Linked DNA regions of Tamandua tetradactyla. The protein of the gene in region 1 interacts with the protein of each later gene in a pairwise test. Links are inferred from orthologs where the notes say so. Each region holds a gene or a part of one and is shown in the gene's direction. Other genes may lie near its edges.

What was found.
Region 2: the proteins of ARFIP2 (region 1) and ARF3 interact in a two-hybrid assay, tested with the Homo sapiens proteins (2 studies listed by BioGRID and IntAct). The link is inferred for Tamandua tetradactyla from reciprocal best matches to the Homo sapiens genes ARFIP2 and ARF3.

Annotation. Positions count from the first base shown.
Region 1 is NC_135334.1:79,907,238-79,914,982, reverse strand, and holds the start of ARFIP2 (arfaptin-2), read left to right. Parts: upstream 1-4,696; 5' UTR 4,697-4,828; intron 4,829-5,610; 5' UTR 5,611-5,652; coding exon 5,653-5,751; intron 5,752-6,007; coding exon 6,008-6,104; intron 6,105-6,970; coding exon 6,971-7,089; intron 7,090-7,268; coding exon 7,269-7,490; intron 7,491-7,745. Other genes in the region: TIMM10B (mitochondrial import inner membrane translocase subunit Tim10 B), read right to left, coding at 3,868-4,044, 4,221-4,316, 4,503-4,532. UniProt on the Homo sapiens protein: Plays a role in constitutive metalloproteinase (MMP) secretion from the trans Golgi network. May have important functions during vesicle biogenesis at certain cargo subdomains, which could be predominantly utilized by secreted MMPs, such as MMP7 and MMP2.
Region 2 is NC_135333.1:109,850,117-109,857,792, reverse strand, and holds the start of ARF3 (ADP-ribosylation factor 3), read left to right. Parts: upstream 1-4,652; 5' UTR 4,653-4,880; intron 4,881-5,324; exon of another isoform or gene 5,325-5,327; 5' UTR 5,328-5,381; intron 5,382-7,676. Other genes in the region: WNT10B (protein Wnt-10b), read left to right, coding at 44-502.

The DNA of each region.
Region 1 (7,745 bases):
GGTCTGTTGATGGGCATTTGGTCTGTTTTCCGTCTTTTGGCGATTGTGAATAATGTTGCTATGAACATCAGTGTACAAACGTCTGTTTGTATTGTTGCTTTCAGTTCTTCTGGGTATATACCAAGTAGTGCTATTGCTGGGTCATAGGACAACTCAGTATTTAGTTTCCTAAGGAAACGCCAGTCTTTCATAGTGGCTATAACATTACATATCCCCACCAGCAGTGCATAAGTGTCCCAGTTTCTCCACATCCTCTCTAACATCTAGTTTCCTGTTTGTTTAAAAGCAGCCATTCTTATAGGTGTGAGGTTGTTGTAGTATGTTTTGAAATTGGAAATGTAAGGCCTCCAAAAAATTGTTTTGGCTATTTGGGTTGTCTTACTATTGCATATGAATTTGACTGGCTTTAATAGTTCTGTTAAAAAGGCTGTTGAAATTTTGACAGTGATAGAATTTACATTTTACCCTAATAATGGGAAGTTATTGCAAGGTTTCAAGCATCAGCCTGTGTTTTCTGGTTGATGACTGAAAATAAATCAAGGGGTACAAGGGGTACAAAATAAATCAAGGGGGATATGGGAAGAAGCAATTCAATAATCTGGGGGTCACGAAGTGAAGAGGAATAAGAAACATGCACAATCCAGGAATACTTAAAAATGTAAATAGAAAGAATTTGGCAATTGAGTGAAGAGGTGAGAGGGGTGTGTCTACGTGTCTAGCTTCTGCAATTGGACGATTACTAGTATAGGAGAGAAGTTTATGAGTTGGGCCTTAATGAGTCGAGCTTGAGACACCTAAGTGGAGATGTTAAGTAGCTCAAAGGAGAGATCTGGGAGTCATTAATAAATGAAGCCCAGAGTGGGGATAAACCCATCTTAGAAAAATTAGACTATGAAAGAACAGGACCTAGGGAATAGTTTTACTTTTAAAGTTGAGAAGAGGATGAGCCTGAAAAAGTAGTTGCAGTAAAGAAACAGTGGTAAAACCATGAGAGTTAACTCAAACACCAAGGGAAGAGGGCCAATGATAAGGGACTAGTTTTGTTGAATAGTACCAAACACTACAGAGAAGTGAAATAAGCACTGGACTCAAGTGAAATAAGCACTGGACTGGGAAATAATCACTGGACTCAAGTCACCTTGGTGAACCAGGATGACTTTAGTAAGACCTATTTCAGTGGAATAAAGGTTGCAGAAGTCAAAGTCCTTGGGTTGAGGAATGGGAGTGGAGAGTGACCTGTAGGATGGAGAAGGTCGAAGTAAACAACTGTTTTGAAAAGTTTAGCTGGAAAAGTGGAAGAGATAGGATGGTAGCTGGACAAACAGCACCCGGAATGGTTTGTTTTAACAAGGGAACAGTTAGCATATTTAGATATTGATGATAATTCAGTAAAGTGAGAGAAAAATCATTGATTACTGAAGAGGAAAGGAACAGAATTCAGAGCACAGGCCTTAGAGAAGAGAGATAATTGCTCTGTTTAGACAGGAGAAAAAGAGAAGTGATGGTAATGTGGGTGAATAATGCTGGATGTTGAGGGAGTTCCTAGCTAAAGGTTTCTCCTTTTGTCTGAAGAAGTAAGGTTACCACAGAAAGTGAAAAGAATGGTAGGGGGTAATAAGAGCCTAACGAATATTGGTTTGAAATAATTATTGCAGGAAGGAGAGATGACTAGAAAAATTTTATGAGATTATAGGGGCTGAGACACCATTTGAAGTTGGTAATCACGGATTCATATTGGTGAAAATATGCTCTACAGTAATTTCCTTGGGAGGCATTTGGTTATTCAAATGCAGGCACAATGCTTTTTTCACCTAAGGTTGATATTTTGTGAGAATAGTCCAACAAAGATATGAGAGACAAAGAAATTTAGGCTATTGGAAGAAAATCACTAAAATATAAGCCGGATAGGAATCTAAAGTCAGGATGGTGCTAATGGACAAAGTAGAAGATGCAATGGCCTGAATCCTCCAGTGAAATCAAAGAATGGTAGTAAAAAGAACAGTTAAATAAACAAAGTGGAAGGAATATAGTCAGTGAATGAGATGTAAGTGTTTTGAAGAAAAAGCAGTTTGGGGTGATATAACTAAGAGGGCGGGTGCAAATCATTGGGAGGTTGGCTCAAAGAACTTAGAGAGCGGGGTATTGAATGGACTATCCATGTAAACATCAAAGTATAAAGGGGTGGGTAAGAGGCCATGAGCTCAGTTTTAGAAGAAAGTGGCAGGAGAATGGTAGCTTCTAAACACAAATAATGACATTGTATGGCTGAATGGCCACAAAGGAATATATATATATGTGTGTGTGTGTGTGTGTGTGTGTATGTGTGATAAGTGATAAAATTTTGTCAACATTTATTCCTAATTGTTATGCTTTAAACATCACATTGTTCCCATATACAATTGGCTGTCTCTTTTTGGTAGGAATAACGTTATTCTCTTAAGTATCATATTTATAGACAAAAAGAACCATAGCAGAAGAGATTGAAAATTTAAGAGAGAATTGATAGGTCACATTGAAGGATGCTTGTCTTTCCATGCCAACAAGCTGGGTACAGGTGAGGTTGCAGATATAAGGTTTGGAAGTTCAAAGAACACAGACTTTAGAGTCAGACAGATCTATGTTCCTAGCCCTTCTCCAGCAATTATTAATTATACGACATGGAAAGAGAGGAAACGCAAATTCACAATGGAAGTTTACTGCATGGACACAAACAAACGTTGATGTAGAATTTTCCCACCAGCAGCACAACATGCAGCAGCTTGAAAAGAGGAATAAAAAATATAAAACAGCTGAATTAATTTTAAAAAACAAGCCAATGGCAGTAAGAAAATGGAGAGTGGAGTCATATGCCATTCCGACTGCTAAATAGAAAAGTAAATTCTATAAGGAAGGCAAGAAAACAATGGAGAGGCTGGAATTGAAAGCACTGAATAGGTACAGTGGGAACAATGCTAGGTGCAGAATTGGGTTAAAGAGATTATAGACAAGGAGTAAGACACTGCAATAACATTAAAGAGGTCTGGAAGATTTGGTTTTATCCTTTTTTTTTTCAGTTACCACAATCTACTTCTCCCTTAAGTTTCTTTCCTTCAAGGATGTATGCACTGTACAATATGGTTCCCCAAGTTTTCCCCTTCCTGACTGTCCTGGAAGACAAGCAAACATACCATCTTTGTTTAAAGGTTTTACTCCTCATCTTGGGAAGACAGAAAATAATAATAATAAAGTATGACCTCAGAAAATGGATGAAGTTCTATAGGATCATTTCTGCTCCTGGCCACTGACTTCCCAGGAGGTAGTGCTAAAAGTCCTTTTGTTTTTTGATCTGTTGCTCTTAGGTACTGCCACTGTTCCTGAGACCTGGCAGAATCCTTTCTTGTAAGACACAGTCCATGAAAAAATTAGTTATTAATACAGACTTAGCTCACGAGTGAGCCATTTAAGTCTCAAGGACAGCAAGACAGAGCTCCCATTTTCTCTGTCATCTGAGCAAGAACCAACTTTCTATTACTTTTACAAACTTGGAAATTATACCCACAAATCCTGCTTTAACCAGGGATCTGGGACTGTTGAGGTATTCTTCTGCATATAAAGGTAATTTTTCAGCTGCCAGGTCTGAAGTTAACAAATATGCACTAACTGGCAGAACAAAAGATGGTGCCAATAAAGCAAGCAAAGTTTCCCTGCCCAGAATGGAAATCAAACGGAGTCAAAAGCCAGTTTATTGGCTCCAGGGAAAGAAGAAACGATACCAAGCTCTCAGGCATTCCCCTCACCTACTCTGTAGAGCTTTCACCCAGCCCAAGGTCCACTGGCTTCCTCAATCTGAGGTTCCCTCCAGTCCCTCCCCTCCTGGGGAGGGGACAGCTAGCTGCCTGATGGGGAGACTCCCGGTTGTTCAGAAGCAACACCTGGCACAGCCGAGGTAGCCTCGTAGTCTGCGATGCGGCGCTGTACCAGGGCAGGCATGAGCTGCACATAAGCAGCCATGAGGCGGTGGTTGGAATGGATCAGCTTCCCAGCACAGCTGTGCAGACAGGCCTCCTGGAAAAAAGACAGATGGAAGTAGAGGCCAAAGGGTCCTACCAGGCCTCATCGCCTTCCTTCGTCATCCCCAGCCTACAGCCAAAGACCATGGAAAGGCTGGGGCCGGAGGTGGGGGAAGCAGGGAAGGGGAGATAGTCTACCGATAATTGAGGAATTCCTACTCAGTTCCCCACCTCCTCGGCGTCCAGAGCTCGGTGGTGCAGGCTGGGCACGCAGCGTAGGAAGCAGAGTTCTGTCATCCGATTATAGACCAACAGGAAATCTCGCAACTGGGAGAAAAGGGAGCCAGGAACACAGCGATAAGGGGCTCCACACGTCACTTCAGTCCCCGCCGCCCGAGGTTTCACAGGCATCACAGCCTGATACTCCCAGCCTTTGAATCCCTAGCTCTTTGGGTTATCCCTTCGGGGGTAGGGATGTGAGCTGAAGGGACAGCCCTGCACCGACCCACTCACGTTTCTCAGTTGCTGCTGTTGCTGCTCCATCACGCCACCTGCGCGTACCACATCACTTTCATTGCCGTTTCTCGATAACGCCCCGGAAGTGATCTTTCTCCGATTCCCAGAGGACTGAGGGGTTGGCTCAAAGAGCGCCCTGCCCCCGGAGGCTAACGTCACTACCGCCCTCATAATCTGCGACGTGGCCGGCTTCTTCTGCCCATGAGGGACGTCACTTCCGCCGAATCCCTGACCTGCTGCTAGGATCGCGACGGGAACTGGAGCCCGAGGTCCCCGCGCGGCCCGGGCCTGGCGCCCTGAGGGGAAGAGCGGCCCGGCCCGAGGTGAGAGGTTCATACTTGGGCGAGGGGGAGTTAAATGCACGAAGCTGCCCTATCGGCAAGATGCCCCTGAGCCCAGGGGAAGGATGGAGACACACCTGATGCCCAGGTGTATGGGGGTGGGGCGGGCTCACACACCTGGGGAGACATAACTGACTTTGGAAGGCATCATCTGTGTCCTGGAAAAGGGAGGTTTTTACTACAGATGGGGAACATACATCGACTGATTAATCCTGGTGAGGAGGTGCTGAGGAGGAGAAGGTGCATGGGATGGAGAAGGGAGAGACCACCTGAAGTAAGAGGGAAGAAAATTAAAAGACTGGTAATGGCCGAGCAATAGAGAATATACCCTAATGGGGGCGGACACCTGAGCCCTGGAGAAGGGTTCATCTCCTGGTCGGTGGAGAGACACATGAATGGAGATAAGCTCCATCGAAGGCACAGACTTCATCTCTCTTATTCACTGCTGCATTCCTAGAGCTTCATGTAGTACCTGCCACATGGTAGGCATTCATTAAATGCCTACTGAATGATTGAATGCATGATTGAGCAACCGAGTCCTGGTGCGTTTGAGGGGTTGTGAGAAGACACCTGAGGCCTGAATGTGCCTGTGTAAAAATGTGCACGCTGGAGAGGAGAAACATACACCTGAGGAGAGGAGTGGTGGCTGAGCCCCAGGCCACATTTAATCCCTGGGGATAACCTCTAAAACCTTAAAAATGGCCGGGGAGGCTTTCTTCTCCTAGAGTGCTGGCCTGTTTCCAGAACTGTGTCGGGTTTTGCAGGGCCCTGGGGTGGAGACTTTGACTCCAGTTGCTTCTCCAGCCATGACGGACGGGATCCTGGGGAAGGCAGCCACCATGGAGATCCCCATCCACGGGAATGGCGAAGCTGGGCAGCTTCCTGAGGATGATGGGCTGGAGCAGGTGCTTCAGTTTGATTCTTCTCCTATTTGTTTCAATTTAGCAATCCCAACTCAGATCCTGGGCTGTCACTCTCATTCCACTAGCTTTCCCTTAATGTAGCTAACTCCCCTTAATCTTTTCACATATCTTCATTCTGGTTCTGTGCAGACTTCCCTTGAGTGCTCTCTCTTTGATGTTTCAATCCAACCTTGTTCCTACCGTCAAAGTGCTTCAGCTGCCCTGTGTTCCTGAAGCCCCTCTCTTCTCTGGCCTTTAGGACCTCCAGCAGGTGATGGTGTCAGGACCCAACCTCAATGAAACCAGCATTGTGTCTGGTGGTTATGGGGGCTCTGGTGATGGACTCATCCCTACAGGTATGATCAGAAACAGGAAGGTTGAGTGAAGAGGGAGGATAGGAATTGTTCTGGGGAGTGTCAGATATGTCTAGAGAAGTTTGGTTTATACATGGAGGTCTGGGGGGAGGTTCCGTTAGTATGAACTCCATGGACCCTCTTCAGTCCAAGAGCAGCTCCCAGTGTTGTCCATATGCTCCCATTTGCCATTTAGCCCCTGAGATACACCCATTTATTCTTTCCTTACTATTACTACTTGAACCAGGTTAAGACTTCTAGTTCTCAGAAGTTCTACTGTTCTGTAGCTTGAGACTGATTTTGAATTTTCTGAAGTTTCTTAAAGGTCTATTTAAGACTCTAAAATTTAGAGAAACAAACAGTCCCAAGTTCCACACAGACTAGAATGCCACATGGGAAAGTCACCAGGTTTCCTATTATTAGGATCAACCAATCTTAACCTGCCCTTCTCCTCCTCCGCCCTCCCTCCAATATACTTGGTACATTTTCTTCTGTTTCTGGGAGAGACTGTACTGTAGCAACAGTGCCCCCCCCCCCCCCACACACACACACACCTCAGAAGGAGGTGTCCCTCACTTCTTTCTTCAGGAGGAATTTGGCTACACTGCAGAGACACAGAAGCTGCTGTACAAGTATGGGAAGAATATACATCTCCTGCCTCGGGCCCTCCCAGGCAGAACATGTATATGGGATTTGGGTCTCAGGGCATAAGGTATGAGTTCTCCCTAGTGAACAGGCAAATCTGTGTCTTTAGTCCCTGCTGCTTCAGGGAAGTCATTTTCATGTCCTGGGAGGGAAGTATGAGTGGGGCCACAGAGGTATCTGGTTGTATCTGAAAGAGGCTAATGTCAGAGAATTTGGTCCTTTAGGATCCGGACGCCATCCTTCTCACAGTGCCACTCCCTCTGGCACTGGAGATGAGGTGGCTCGGGGCATCGCTGGAGAGAAGTTTGACATCGTCAAGAAATGGGGCATCAACACATACAAGGTGGGATTTGAGCACCTCTCCATATACTCATAATTCCCTTGGGTAATGTTTTCCCTTCTCCCGAGACCCTAATATCCCATCTATGACTGAGATCTGGCATCTGGGGATGCAGGGGTGGGTACCTGAGTAGGTGGTGAGGGTTCTAGGGTCTCTGACTTATTCTTCCACTTCCCAATCAGTGTACAAAGCAGCTGTTATCAGAGCGATTTGGGCGAGGCTCCCGGACTGTGGACCTGGAACTAGAGCTGCAGATTGAGTTGCTGCGTGAGACGAAGCGCAAGTATGAGAGTGTCCTGCAGTTGGGCCGGGCATTGACAGCCCATCTCTACAGCCTGCTGCAGACCCAGCATGCACTGGGGGACGCCTTTGCTGACCTCAGCCAGAAGTCCCCAGAGCTTCAGGTGCCTCAGCCAGGCCAAAGAGGGTGGGGGACCTGGGCTCGGGCCCTCCCAGGCAGTCACCCCTCAGCCTCCCTCCCTCCCTCCTACAGCCCACAGGCAGAACCCCTCCAGGGTGGGCCCAGCCCTGCCCCCAGCAACACTCACCTGTGGAGGCAGCCTAAGGGTGTGTACAGAAGTCCAGAGTTGGAGGGGTTGGGGGTAGGGGGAGTACTAGGTGACTCACAAGTAACCCATCTCTGTATTGGCAAGAATGCC
Region 2 (7,676 bases), on another chromosome or scaffold:
TGTGCTCTGTCCCTTTGCTGCCCTCCCCCCCCCCTTGCTCTAGGTGGTAATTGAAAACCTGAAACGGAAATGCAAGTGCCATGGCACTTCAGGCAGCTGCCAGTTCAAGACATGCTGGAGGGCGGCCCCGGAGTTCCGGGCAGTGGGGGCAGCATTGAGGGAGCGACTGGGCAGGGCCATCTTCATCAATACCCACAACCGCAACTCAGGAGCCTTCCAACCTCGCCTGCGTCCCGGTCGTCTCTCAGGAGAGCTGGTCTACTTTGAGAAGTCTCCTGATTTTTGTGACCGAGACCCTACCGTGAGCTCCCCGGGAACACGGGGCCGGGCCTGCAACAAGACTAGCCGCCTGCTGGATGGCTGTGGGAGCCTGTGCTGTGGTCGTGGGCATAATGTGCTCCGGCAGACACGAATTGAGCGTTGCCACTGCCGCTTCCACTGGTGCTGCTACGTGCTGTGTGATGAGTGCAGAGTCACAGAGTGGGTCAATGTGTGTAAATGACGGTCAGCCTCACCATGGGCCTGGGGAATGGTGTGTGTGTATGTGTGTGTGTGGGTGTGTGGGTGTGTGCACCTTTTCAGCCCTTTGCTCTGATTTCTGTCCAGGGTTGATCTTGGTCCCTGAAAGCTTGAAGCATCTCCCTGGAAAACAGCTTTGGGGGTGGCAGGGGCCAGGAGGACTCCATGTGATTTGCAGCTTCTCCCCACAGTTGAAGGGCTTTGTGGGGGAATGTCACTCCTTTTCTGCTCTTCAAACACCTGAGGAAACTAAGTTGAAATGCACTGTATTGCCCCCGACTCCAGGGTCCCTTTAATCCTGATTCATACTAATTTGATAGGGGAGTTCCTACAGTTTGACCACTTGTCTCTCGAGGGATAGCCACAGGCATTATGTGGAATCATATGATCTGTATCCAGAAACTGACTATACTCTTATTTGCTGTTCCCAAACTTCTTTACTGCAAACTGGGTCCTCGCTTGTGGGGTCATGGGAGACAGCAGTTGAGAGCTTTCTCTTGGGGAAGGGACAGAGTGTTGAGGGGTGGCTCTCCCCTGAGTCCTCAGAGAGTTCTGTGCAGACCCTTAGTGAGCTGTCTCTCTCCATTCCGATGTTAAAGGGGATCCTCCAAGGGAAGGTTTTACCTAAGACTCTCTCAGCCTCTTTTTTTTTTTTTCAGCATGAGGGATGGAAATGGATAATTTATTGTACTGAGACTTGTTCTTGGTTCCTGTTTGTAATGAAAATAAATTAAGTTACTGGACCAGTGGATGCAGATGGTGATATTGCTGCCCACACTTGATATCCTAGTGCATGGCTTCTTTTCCAGGTGAATACCCCTGCTCTCCGCCTCTCAGTTACTTTATGTATATCCTGCCTGGTTCCACAAAGGATCTGAAATGGTCCTTGGTGACTTAGGTGGAAATTTTAGTGTGCAAAACCAGGAGGAACTTCTAAGTGGGAGGGGCTAGAGATGCAAACCTAGGCCCAATTTACTCTCTATGTGCCTCCACTCCAGATTTCATCTTGGTCACTACCCTAGAACAAGGGTTGGTGACTTTTTTTCTGTAAAGGGTTAGTGAGTAAATATTTTAGGCTTGTGGGCTTTATTGTAACTACTCATCTCAGCCACAACTACTCAACTCTGTTGTTGTTGATCAAAAGCAGTCATAGACCGTACAGAAGCAAAAGGGTGTGGCAATGTCCAATAAAAATTCACAAAAACAGGCTGCAGGGCCAGACTTGACCCTCTGACTGTACTTTGTTGACCCCTGCATCTAGACATGAAATTACCTCTGTTCTGTTTTTTTTAAGTTCTCAGTTGTATCTCAGCCTTGAACCTGGACCCAAAGTAGCAGGTGCTTTTCTTTCTGGCTCCATACCAGAGAACTTGGGAGGTAGATGCAAGATTAATGAGAAACATATAAAAGGAATTTCCATGCTCAGAATTGGTCTGTTACTGAATTATTTGCATATGCATTTTGTCTCTCCTTACTCAGGATTCTTCTGCATTTAATCTTAGCAAAATAATTCCTTCATCTTTTAAGCAATAACCATAACTAGGGAGAACAGCATTTCTTCTTTTCTAATCATTCTATTCCTAGCCCAATTATCTTTGAAAATACATTTATCTTCCCAAGGTTCAATGTGGAAAAGGGATATGCATCATACATTTAGAACGCTACAAATGATTGCATATTTATGGGGCTGTGAGATGCTGACTCTAACGGGTCATCTCTTTGGCCAGGAAAGGCAAATTGTTCTCTTCCTCTAGGCAACATTTATATCTGTATTATCACTCAACTCAGATGATATGCGGAGGCTCACCAGGGTAGCAAAGATATTTTGAAGAGTTTAGGGTTAGTGCAATATCTTATGGCAAAATTTTATTATCTGAATTTCCACTTGAGCACTAGGAATTCTGAGTTTGGAAATTTGATGGAGGCAGGAAGATATCCCATCTTTAGTTCAGGCACTGGCTGAGCCTAGTATGTATATGGGGGAGCTGAACAGAGTAGGTAGGATGCAGCTGGAATGGACTTAGGATATGAGGGAAAATAACAAGCAAGAATTCCAGAATGGGAATTTCTCACTCTCAGGAAGACTGAGGAGAATCTCCAATGGAGTCACAGCAAGAATATTTCAGCTTTTTCCTGTTTCCTTCCTCAGTAATCGCTTTGGCTCCCTTTCTCTTTCTAGCTTTCCCTCCTCTTTCGTCAGACATACTCTGTGGCAAATTTAAGCCCCAAACCACAACCTTGAGAAATTACAAATGGATTTTGTCAGGAAGGCCAACACCCCCCCTCCTTCCCTACTTCTGCTCTTGGCACATACACTGGACTCAGGCCCAGGCCTAGGTCAGCAACAGGAGTGGGAGTGTGGAACCCACAGAGTGGGTGGCTGCAATTTAGCTTTTACTTAGTTTATATGGCAGCCAGAGGGAGGGAGAAAGGCTGATGAACTGTATGTAAGCCAAATCTCTTGGCCTCCTTTAGCTCTGGATGAACTCTTTTCCCCTTAGGCTTTACCAAGTGGCTGGCTAATTGCCAGCTGGGCAGCACTGGTTCTCTCTGCGCTCCTGTTTGCTCCGTGGGAAACCCCCACTGATGTTGCAACAAACCTTTTCCTCTTGAGTCTCTAGAGGGGTGAAGGACAGAAGGGCTCGGAGATTCTCCAGTTCTATTCATCAGTCCTGACTCAAATACCATGCTTGTTGCTAACCGTATTAGGTAGTCACCATTTCTATCCTTCTGTCACACCTGGGGAGGTCTGAAATCTTGGGCAGGAACAGCAACATGCTCCACATTCTTCTAGGGAAGGGGGATGGAAAGCATAATTTTGGTGGTCAGAGTGTGTGGGGACAAGACCTAGAGTGGTGCTACTAGAAACAGTGGAAAGGCTAAAGCAATCATGTGGAGGTGTAACAGGGCCCATGCACAGAATCTGCATCAATACCAGAGGAGTCTTTTGCTTTTAAAAGCACAGATCTTAGCAAGACAAAGGCCCTGAATAACAACAGCCCAGGATAGAGATAACTCTCTTCATTATATACAGGTTTTCTTGCCAGCCAATTCATCCATCACTATCCTAAATTAGGGTCCTATTGGATTCATATTCTGGGGTCATGTTATCTTCCAGGTTAAAAGACGGAAAACAGACTAGGTTAAGAGGGAGGGACTTGTGAAGGCAGGAATTGATGGAGGCAAGAGGGCAGACACTGTGTGGCTACCAGCCTCCCTCTTACAAGTAGACCAGAAACACAGTAACAAACCCAGAAAAGCAATAATTTCTGCTTCAGCCTTAGAGAAGAGTCATGTGTTCCCTTTTGATGCTGTGAATGAGGAGAAAGAACACTTAAAGAACCCTCTTCTGTTCTTATCATTATTGTCCTTCTTCCATCATAGCTGTGACTGTTCCAGTTTTGCATGTCTAGAACAGGTGCAAAAATGAGTGTGAGGGAAATGGGGATGGGTAGGAGGTCAAAAACATTAGGTGCAAAGTCCTTCACTTTCCTGGGGATACTAAAATCCATACTCATCCAGGTACACTTCCTAAACCCCACCTCTGAATATATTAGGCTTCTACTGTTTTTGTCTGTCGATTTCCAGCTTCCTGACTGGCCCAGAGTCCAGCTGTTTCCTTCAGTCCCTTAAATTCATCACTCTCCTCTTTCCAATGAGAAAGGGTCTCTTGATTCAGACCTTAGAGTAAACTAGATTTGGAAGTAGTGAACAGCAACACTGGGAGCAGTGAGAGTTCTCAGGGGGATACAGCTGGTCCTAGGCAAGAAATAAGGATGAGGTCTGACGGGGCAAAGCGAGGCACAGCAAGGATTCTCACCCAAGCCCGGCTCCTGACTTTACCCAAACAGCCCCAGAGCCTCCTTAGCCCAACCTCAGTCTAAAGTGCAGCCAGCTTTGGAGTCCCAGTCTTCAAGTTCCAGGCATAGCCCTCAGCTTGGAATTCTCACCTCAGTCCCCACTGCCTCATCCCCATTCCCTGGCTCACGCTTCAGTCGCCAGCAGCCTCCAGCCCCCACACCGGCCCCCGCCCTGGCTGCAGCTCCATTGCTGGGCTGCCTTTGCTGCAGCGGCTGCCATGGTGATGGATATCGCGAGAACTGCCGTTCGCCGCCGCGCAGCTCTCGCGCGATCGGGGAGGTGGGAAGTATCCCGGGCTGGGGTAGGGGTGAGCCGCACAGCTCCTGTCGCCGTCGCGGCTTCCGGTGCTAGGTGGAGAGAGGGAAGGAGGGAGTCGGGGAGCGGCGGGGCCAGGGGAGCAGCCGCGCCGAAGTCGTGGGGGAGCTGGAGAGAGCGGAGTGAGAGCCGAGTGGAATCTGCGGAGGCGGCGGCCGCAGCGGCGGAGCTGGGAGCAGGAACAGGTGAGAGGTTGGGGAGGGAAGGCGGGTCCCGGTAGAGAAGAGGCTTGAGGTGGGGACTGAGGGCGTAGAGCCTTCAGCCCTCCCGCCCCCCGCCTCCACGGCTTGGCATGGGGTGGTGTGCCCTTCCCACTGGAGGCTCGGAGAGGGGTCTCGGGGCGTCTCATTCCTGCCCCCACATTTGAAGGACGCGGAGCCGGAGTGGGGGTGGGGGGCGCATACGGATTTGTCCTCCGCTTCGCACAAGGGGGCGACCTGGGATGCAGTTAGGTTCTTCTCTCCTGCAGGAGGTGGGTTTGCTAGGGGTTGGGGTTGTGGGGGGAAAAAAACAATCCTGAGATGCGGGGGCGGCGATCGCTCTTTTGATTTTTTTTTTTTTTTTAATTTCTGTTAAAGGCTAGGTAATGCAGTTTTTTCTTATCCCCCTTTTCTTCCCCCACCTGGTAGCAGTAGGAGACCGGAGAGAAGCCTTGCTGTGGCGACCCTCCCCATCGTGGGGCAGAGGTGTGTAATGGGTTTGGTTGCTAGTCGGCAGCGCGGCTAGTGGGGCACCCAGGAGCACGATTTTGGAGGAGGTTGCGGTTTCGGGTCTTGGGAACCGCAGGTTAAGGAGAGGGCAGCAGGTGGGGTGTGGAAGGAGAGGAGACTGGAGAAGGGGGAGGGGGATCTTATCTGACTTGGAGAAGAGAGGTGGGGCCTTCCTCCCCCAGGCGGAGCGGGGGCGGTCTCACAGGAGGAGGGAGCGTCTTGTCGCTGGCCCGGAGTTTGTGTCTTCCAATCCGCTTTCTTTCTTTAAGGAGTAGCAAGATTCCCGGAAGAGAAAATGGATCTATAGCCTACACCAACCATTGGGGGGGGGGGGGGAGTTCCCTGTTAAAGCGAGCCACTTGATTAGCAAAGTTGTAGCTTCTTTTTTTGAAGCGTTCCCTTCTTTCTGGGTTATATTACTGCCTGCTTGCTGGCAGTAATACGTTCTGGTTTTCTTTAAAGAGATTAGAAGCTTTTTGAATGCAGGAATTGGATCTTCTCCATTTGGCCAGGCCAAGAGGACTGGTGTGGTGTGGTGTGGTGTGTGGTCAGAAGTGAGAAGAATAGTGAGGTCATCTGGGTGAGGGAGAATTGTAACTTAAAACCTGCCTTTGCTGCTGTTGGGTTGGGTCAGGTCACCCCTGGTCTGTGACATGAAAGTTTAATTGGGAGGAGATGTGCTGCAGGAGTCTGATTGCTTGGGTCAGTGCAACAGGACAGAATCAAGTCTCTGCATACCTTCTTCCTTGTCACCAATCAGGTATAGTGACAGTCTTTGCTGCCATTCTATCTTGGGCATATTGTTGGGGCAGGTGTCTCCACTTGTTAAGACTGGAAGGGGACAGTGGAGTGGTATTGCACATTAGATTTGAGGTTGAATAACATGTCTGTAAAAGCTCATCCTGAGAAAGAAGCCGATCCCTTGAGGTTCAGTTTTTCACAGAATGAATCATTGATCTTAGAGTCAACCAGAAAGTTTTCCCATGTTTCACATATTCAGATGCTTCCTGCCTTCCAGCGTTTTACCTTGCATAGTTGAAAAATTTTTGCGTACGTATTGGTTTTCCCAAAGAAATTGGAAGTTTTTTGAATGCAGGAATTGGATCTTCTCTTGTCTCACATAATGTATGTTCACACAGGTACTCATGATGAATGTGTAAGTGAATACAAGGTGTGAATGGATAGAACTTGACAAGCTTTTCCTATAGTTAAAGGAAAAGAAAGGAGATGGCTTGGTTGTCAGGGAGAGGCCTAGAGATAGCCAATCAAGGATACAAAGACCCTTGGACTCTGTAATTACAAGTCTTGATCTCTCTGCCTTCCTGAGAGACAGAACACAGGCGTGGGTAATGGAACCTGAGAGCCAAAGAGGAAAATATTACCAGAACATAGAATCATTATTTACTTGAATTCCCAGATCTCCTGCCTCCCCATAGTGTACAAAGAGGTCTCTACATTCGATTTAAGTTCCTCAAAGTGTTGCCTGTAAATTGGGAACCTGGAGATCATGGAGGAGGGGCCAATGTACAAATATGGTGCCTGGCACAGAATTGGTGCCATTGAATGGTAGCTGCTGTTATTATTATTATGCTGAATGGAAGTATAAAGGAAAGCAGATAGCAGACTGGAAAGAGTGGAAGTGAAGTCTTTGGTGCACAAATGTCACGTTGTGAGTGTTCATCTGTGCTATTCTCTTTTCTACTGGACTCAGACTAAGAGGAAATGGGTTCAGAGGACAGTGGGTGGGATTTATTGGTTAGAAGGAAGAAACTTCTTTAAAACCAGATTTGCTAAACCTGAATATGTAACTGGGGGAAATTGTGGAATCTGCTTTCCCAAATACCTTTAAAAATAGACACCAATAGGCCTGAGACTCAGAGCATGTCACTGTGTGTGGCTCTTCTCACCATTTTAGTTTTAGGCTAATTTAGAGGCAGAATGGTGTGGTAATTAAGAATGTGGGCTTTGGAATTAGACAAAATTGGGTTCAAATTCTGCCTCTACTAATTACTAGGTGCATGTTTTTGGTGAAATAGCATGTCCTTTCTTAGCTTTATGTTCCTCATCTGTAAAGGGGGATTTAAAGCTTTATGTTCCTCATCTGTAACCCTGTAATACCTCATAGGGTTGTCATGAAAATTAAGTGACATGTAAAGCACTTAGTAATGTACAAAGCACATAGTAAGCACCAAAAAAAGTTAACTGCTATTAATCATCATCATCGTCATAACAGTAATAATACGAACACTCACGACTGCCTTAAAGGAAAGG